Drosophila melanogaster: one gene and its partner. The protein of the gene in region 1 interacts with the protein of each later gene in a pairwise test. Each region holds a gene or a part of one and is shown in the gene's direction. Other genes may lie near its edges.

The links.
Region 2: the proteins of CG10710 (region 1) and Hpd interact in a two-hybrid assay, tested with the Drosophila melanogaster proteins (one large-scale study listed by BioGRID).

Annotation. Positions count from the first base shown.
Region 1 is NT_037436.4:13,517,911-13,521,838, reverse strand, and holds the start of CG10710 (uncharacterized protein), read left to right. Parts: upstream 1-2,233; 5' UTR 2,234-2,467; intron 2,468-3,163; 5' UTR 3,164-3,180; coding exon 3,181-3,928.
Region 2 is NT_037436.4:20,437,780-20,441,707, reverse strand, and holds Hpd (4-hydroxyphenylpyruvate dioxygenase), read left to right. Parts: upstream 1-1,835; 5' UTR 1,836-1,933; coding exon 1,934-1,936; exon of another isoform or gene 1,937-2,153; coding exon 2,154-2,180; intron 2,181-2,247; coding exon 2,248-2,631; intron 2,632-2,689; coding exon 2,690-3,343; exon of another isoform or gene 3,344-3,407; coding exon 3,408-3,482; 3' UTR 3,483-3,542; downstream 3,543-3,928. Other genes in the region: CtIP (CTBP-interacting protein), read right to left, coding at 3,583-3,768, 3,833-3,928.

The DNA of each region.
Region 1 (3,928 bases):
CTTAAAAAATATAAGCCACCTGGCCGAATTGGCCAACAGAACGAAAACGAATCTGATTTGAATGGAAATCGCGAATCGAGCGGCAGTTCGCCAATTCAAGTCAAGCATTTGCATATTGGCTCGCGTTTTGTCGGCGGCTAGTAAACATAGGAAATTCAAATTTTCATGCGAAAATTATGACTCAAGTGAAGTGAGTTAATCCCAGGGGAATACTTGTCGATATCGTGTGAACTTGAGGCAAGGCCAGACAAAAGACTTGGTCTATAGAATTCGCAAATGACATGGTTGTTCACTTGCTTCAAGCCACGTTAACAAAGCGCGCGTGGGCGATTGAAGTGGCAGTTATGGCCATAAATACAAATATGTTCGTTCGCGCAAGCAGATATTGACTGTCAGTGTCGCTCGATAAACATGCTAGCAGATAGCAGTGGGAAAAACACCAGCAGCAGCTGCTGCAGACTCGCAACTGCCGAATAGATGTGCAATACTCAAGAGCTCCACTCCGCTCTGCATCCGTAGGTTGGACTCCGCCGCCGCTGGCCGATCTGATGGTGATGTAAGCTCCGGTTCTGGGTTGCCAATTACCGCCGACTGCCGTCTAACCGCCGTCTAACCAACTGTAGAATGTAAAGCTTCTGCAGGTCGCGAAAAACTCGCCCACCCACTGCCAGCGGTACAGCGTCATCATCATCGACTGCACAGTGATCTCTGCGAAGTTCGATCTTGCACGCGATGCGAAACGGTCGAGAAAAGATTCTTTCCAGCTAAAAGCGGGTAGGTATTATTATTATTATGATTGAGTGATCTGTTCAATAAGGGGTCTAATCGTCTTGGGACTGCCAAATGAGTAACTTGAAGAACGCTGCCCCTTAAGGCGTCTATTCGCATTTGGATAGTGACTTGTGCATTGTGCTTTGCATTCTGATGATCCGAGTTTCGTCGGTTTTCTTCCCTTATTTTGCGCAGTGGAGAAAGTAATTAGTGATCGGACCATGACCGAATATCACTGAGTTACTAGCATTCAGTTTGCAAATCATGACATAAACAATTTATTTTAAATAAACCAAACGCAAACCACCCACCCACAGTGCCGTCATACTTATCTGTATGTAATAATCCCATTTAATAATTAATATAAAAAACCATACCGTGTCATTTCACATCAATCATGTTTAGAACTTGAATGTGAGTGTGATGAGACAATTGTCTGTACTTTATTATAAATTACGTTTGTTTTCAATACTTTTTGAAGGCTTAATATTAAACATATATTCCAGTTTTTGGTGTTAAAAAAAGATTTTACAATTTTTTTTGCTTTGCTTTTCCATTAAATTAATTTAATTTTATCAGGGTGATTTTCTTTTTTATTTTAATTACTCTCACGAAATGCCAATCTCAGCATTATTTTATTTCTTACTCTAATTTCTCTCTGTGCACCCACTCCAGTTAGAAACGGAGTTGACCTACTTTGCCATGTGCGCTGCCCAAAATAGAGGATCCGCCTCGATCCGTTGTCTATTTCGGGAGGTGTTTTTCATTTCACTTATTTTCCTTTCACTACCTTACCCGAAAAATCATAATCCGAAAGAGGCGCAGGCGATTCTTAGTTGCCCTAACCCGAAGTAGCCAGGTGCTATAAATAAAATGCGATCGCGCATATACGCGTAGCTGCTAGGAAAGAGAGCTATAAAAAACAAGGGGTTGCTGATCGAACTGGGGATACCCTCGTTAGTCCACTACCTCTGCTCGGCTGCGGGAGAAGCTGAAACGAAAGCAATTTGTTTTCACCCTGATCCGTTGATACAATAAACAAGTTGGCGCACAGGCAGCCCATGAATGAAAAACAGCGAAAAATAAAATTCGTTTTTTTTTTGGGCAGAATTTCTTGCTTCATTTTGGCTGCCGCATTCTGCGTAGCGTTGTGGACCTGGCCGAGTGGTGAGGGGTCTTCTATATGGCCGGCAACAAGTTGGATTTTTCTAAAAATGAACACACACGAAATAGCTTCGTCTTTGGCGTTAAATACGGACCACGACAACCATCGGTGTCGAGCAGCGACAACGCATCTCCGCATCTTCGAAGAGCGGCGGAATTTGATTTGATTTTCACTTGCCCGACCGTCCGCGCTATTTTCCTATTTCCCTCTATTGTGTGTGGGGCGTGCTCTCCGCGGCGGTCCATCTAAGGAGCATATTCCGAAGAAGCGATGCTTTCCGCGACTCGGCTTTCCCGCAACTAGTTGCGTTTTGGATGTCAACACGATGTGCACGCGCACAGCGTCGATTCCCGTCGACCAACTGCCACTGGCAGCGTGAAGTGAACTGTGGACCGTGGCGATTTGAAGGTGATCTCAATCACCCGGCATTACTAGGACAGCTTGAGCCAAGACTGAACCGGCGAGGGAACCGGAACAGAAGATATTCATTTTTCCAGGGCACCTTAAACGTACAAACGATAGAATAGCAAGGTAAATATGATAGTTCTCGATTAGTAATCGTTATTCTATGTATGTGGATACAGCAAATACCCTTCGCCATCCATTCAGGCCGGGCCTTTAGACCTTTTATGGGCATGCTTTTCGCCCAGGGAATCGAATTTCATGCACAAAAACAACATTTCGGTTTCGGGGCAAAAATCGTTGTGCGTTTGTGTGTGTTTCGCCTGAGAGAGCGCCACTTGCCAGTTCCTCTTGGACATTTAAATAGAATTCCCGTGCTGGCCACCGATCGAGAGAGAAACAGAGATTGAGCACCCTCCTCCTCCTCCTGCGTCTCCGTGAATGTGTTCCTCTGCCGGCGAGCATCAAAATAACAACACAACGTGTTTTTCGTGTCTCTCACATCGCGTATACGCAACGTATACCACCATTTCATATTTACTTTTAACTTACTACGGTTAAAATTACAGCTTAGTTTAGATGTGTTTTCCATAGTATTTTCCGGTAAGCGTTTGGAACATTACACTATTTCCTTTTATTACCGTCTATGCCAGTCAATGGTTCGTATACGCAATGTGTTGTCTAGTTTGAATTTCGAAACTGTATGAAAACAAGTCTTTGTAATAAGTGATGTAAATATGAAAAGTTTTATATTAATTTAAAAGCATATAAATTGGAAGATTATATAAATAATAATAAAACTATCTTTCTCTTACTTTTTTTTAGCCGAAATCAAGATCAGCATGCAAGAACTTACTAGGATCTGCGATCTTAACGGAAACGCAGACAAGGGAGAGTTGGGTCCGGCTACCAACAATCTGGACCAGCTCCTACCCAGCATAAAGCTGGAGCACGATCCCGACTTGGAGTGCTGGCTGCCCACGCCCGAGCACCCACAACTCCGTCTGGATCTGAACAGCACCCGTCTGCTGCTGCAGGGCTCCGACGACCCATTGATCTCGCATGGCGCCACCAACGATGCCCACGACGAAGACCATCCCTTCAAGACGCTACTGGCCCGCAAAAGTGCCGGCCACGAAACCCCACACAATGGCACCTGCAGTCCACTGACCAAGCAGCAGCTGAAGGCCAATCTGCTGATGGGCAGCCGGAAGGCGAACCGACAGCCAGCGCAGGAGCAGCCACACACTGCTCTACCACAAAAGACAGTTAGGCCAGTGCACAGCCAGGGTCAACAGCGATCACGTAAGCGAGGCGATGCGGGAGCCATGAAGCTTCGCTTTCACCACCAAGCTCTGCCCGCCGAGTATGCCGCCCATTACGAGGCCACGCAGGGTCGCCAGCAACCAAGACCAGTGCTACCACCGCCAGCTCCTCCGCCGAGTCAGGCTCACGAGAATGTACGCAGTTGGCTGCGGAAGATTGCCGAGATCCAGCGCAATGCCGAACGCCAGCAACAAAAGCAGTCTGCCGCTCCTCGAGTTGGAGCACCAACTTCGCGATCTTCACCCATCGCAGCGACGTCCGTGG
Region 2 (3,928 bases), 6.9 Mb from region 1:
TCCGAGGGAGTGCGTCGGGATTCTTTGACTAATGGAACCCAAGGAGCGCCAGGTGTAAAGTAAACAAATAGAAAACCTCGCAGTTTATGAGGGCGATAATGGAATCAATGTTGTGAAAGGGCTTGGGAGGATTTGAAATTAGAAAGTTGCCCCAATTGTGTATTTTCAGATGCATTACTTTGCATGAATGTGAATAGAATGTTCTTTATTAATACGCCTAGGAATTTAATGGGTTTGTTATAGAAGAACCTTTTCAGTCATATGGTTTAATAGCTACAATACCATCTGGAGCAATTTGGCGACAAGGGCCACTTCCAACTCCTACCACTTTTGCCAGATTGTCGCCTATGCAGCGCCCTAATAAGCCAATCATAATAAATGTCAAGCATTGATTTGGCTTCTTGCCAATGACCAATCGACCATCGCCCACTCTTTCCCAACCTATTCCATCCCATCCCCACCTCACCACTTCCATCGGACTGTCAGTTCATCATTAGCAGCTGGGGGAGACTTTGTCTAGGGCTAATCATTAATGCTTAGCTGCCTGAATTGCTCATACGCCATGTGTGCAGGGAACATAGCATGTGGCTGAGCGGCAAAAACTATTAATTTATGGGCTTGTCGCATGTTGCCAAACACCTGACACGAATCGTCAGTCAAAATGATTAAGAGAACTGCCCTATCCCAAAAAAAAGCACAGGGGCAATATCTCGATCAAAAGATCTTTAAAGCAAGCACAAGATAAACTTTTTTTTATTACTATGATAGAAATAAACGCCGTTTAACAATTATGATCTTATAATCTCAACATATTGGCTGCTTGTTGAATTACATTTAAATCTATATCTATATTATCTGTATCATTTATAGTGATGTTGTCTAACTTTAAACTAAAGAATAACGATCACTAAAACGCTCATTCATCTATAAGCAAGATATTCCTAAATACCTATAAAAATAATAGAACTTGCTTAAATAACTAATCCAGTTCCCAAAACCAGTCTTGCTATATTTAAATACAACTGAATTATGCGCTTTCAAATAAAGAAAATAACCATCAAGCTAATGATTTGAAATCCTTTTCCAATCCTCTTAGAGCTATTATCCCCGCAATTAAAAACCGATAAAGGCAATCATCAATTTAGATGATTTGTGACTAGCGTGTGCCGCTTTATTAGATCGTAACAACAAACAGATTTGTTAACCAGTTTTTGTACATTTGTTTTGAGAACCTTGCAAAGCGGTTCTAATGCAAAACAACTTCAATAACGCCCCACATTATGCACTGTGTAACAATGGCAATAACAATAACAATTCAGATAGCATTAACACTCAGTTGGCCCATTGTTTGCGTTTTTGGGGGCTCGAAACTGGAATCAAGTTTAGTACGACTTGGCAACCGATTTTCGAACTCACTAGACTTGACTTCATGAATATTTAGCTGAATTCTGACATGGGCCGAACTTTTGCATAACGAACACATAGTTATCTGTATCTTCATGTAACGAGCTTAAGGAAGTGAAATTTCGAACGCAGAACTTGCAAAGCGCCGCTCAGATACGAAGTAAACAGATTGGAGGCCCGACCCGCATTACAATATTGCAATTCATTCCGCTCGAGATTGCATTAATTAAGTAATCCACCTGTTCTAGTAAACAAATCCATGCAGGTTTAGCTTAAATATGCGATCAATAACCAGCTAGCTAAGATATTCCGATAATATGGCATTCGAAATAAACAAAATACTAGTTTGGCTTATATTTAAATTAGTACAGGATTTTCACCTGATCCACCTACCTGAGCGCCCTATAAAAAGCCTCCGACTGGCTGAGCTCAGGCCATAATCAATTTGAAGATCGTGTAAGATCGACGGAACGAAGAAATCTATATCGCGTGCGAGGAGAGGATTTGCATAAATTGAGTCTGAGTGATAATGGTAAATGAGACGATGGGACATGTGGTGGCTATGTGGTTATGTAACAGCCCTTTAGTGCGAATTAAATGGACTTTAAAGAGTTCTCAAACAGGATTTATAACAAATACTGTCTAACAAAAGCGGATAAACCAATGATAATTATACAGACTTTCTAAGGATCCATTTCAAGGTGATCTAATTCTAATGACTTCTATTATTTCTTTTTAACTACCAACAGACCAGCTATACTGACAAAGGAACCAAAGTAAGTTCGAAAGCGTATGCCAATATTGGAGCGTATAATGCCAACCTACTTTCTTCACTACTTTCAGCCTGAAGCCGGCAAATTTCTAAGCTTTGATCACTTAACCTTCTACGTTGGCAACGCCAAGCAGGCGGCCAGCTACTATACCACTCGACTGGGCTTCGAACCACTTGGCTATCAGGGATTAGAGACCGGGGAGCGACGCTTCGCCAAGCATGCCGTCCGCCAGAACAAGATCGTCTTTGTGTTCGTCTCCGCCTACACGCCGGATGACGAGGAGCATGGACTCCACCTGATGCGCCACGGCGACGGTGTCAAGGATGTAGCCTTCGAAGTGGAGGATTTGAATGCCATTTTCACACTGGCCGTGTCCCGTGGGGCCGAAGTGGTCCGCGACATCTGGGAGGAGAGCGATGATCAGGGATTCGTGAGATTCGCTACCATCAAGACGGTAAGTCCGTGGATTTCATTCTGGAATATTTAAGGATTAATCCTTAACTTGAATGCAGTACGGCGACACTACCCACACTTTCGTGGAGCGCAATGGGTACGCTGGAGATTTCCTGCCTGGATTCCAGCGGTCGCCCAAAGATGTCCTTCTAAACGGATTGCCCTCCACCAAGCTGAACTTCATTGATCACGTGGTGGGCAACCAGCCGGATCTGCAGATGGAGAGCGTGGCCTCCTGGTACGAGAGAATCCTGCAGTTCCACCGCTTCTGGTCCGTGGATGACTCGCAGATTCACACGGAATACTCCGCCCTGCGGTCCATCGTGATGGCAAACTACGAGGAGACGGTGAAGATGCCGATCAATGAGCCAGCCAATGGGAAAAAGAAGTCACAGATCCAGGAGTACGTGGAGTACTACGGCGGCGGTGGTGTCCAGCACATTGCTCTTAATACGGATGACATTATCGAGGCGGTGAGCAACCTAAAGGCTCGAGGAACCGAGTTCCTGACCATCCCATCCTCGTACTACGAGATCCTTCAGGAGCAGCTCTCGCACAGCCGCACCAAGATCAAGGAGGACATGGAGGTCTTGAAGAAGTTGAACATTTTGATTGACTTCGACGAGAACGGATATCTGCTGCAGATCTTCACAAAGAACTGCCAGGATAGACCGACCCTCTTCCTGGAAGTTATCCAACGCTACAATCACAATGTAAGATTTATTGCTTAACCTACTGTTGCTAAGAACAAGTAAATCATGATCATTACTATTTCAGGGATTTGGCGCTGGCAACTTTAAGTCCTTGTTCACGGCCATTGAAATTGAACAAGCCAAGCGAGGAAACTTGTGAATCAAATGTGATCAAATTGAGAACTAACAAAATCAATAATAAATGAAATGGTCTAAACTGAAAAACTATTTGTAAATTGATTGCCTAAATGTCATTTGTTTTATCTCTGGTCCCAAAACCGAGTGTCTATCAACACTTCGTTGCGTGGATCGCCTTCTGCGAAGGAAACCATGTGTGGATTCCAGAATCCCGGCGGAGTTGAACTGCGAGCGTCTTCATGCCGGCACTTTGCCAAATAATCTTTGATCTTCTCGTCTGTCAGATTTGAACCCATAAAATTGATGAACTAAGTGGATCGAATTTGAAATAAATATTATTTAGTTGTGGATGGTCGAGAAAATTGTACATACCTTTTCGCACTCGACGCACTCAATGTTAAAACGTTCTTTGACCGTCGCCTCAGGTTCCTCCTTGATCAAAATCGGTCGCGGAAACTCCTCCTCCGA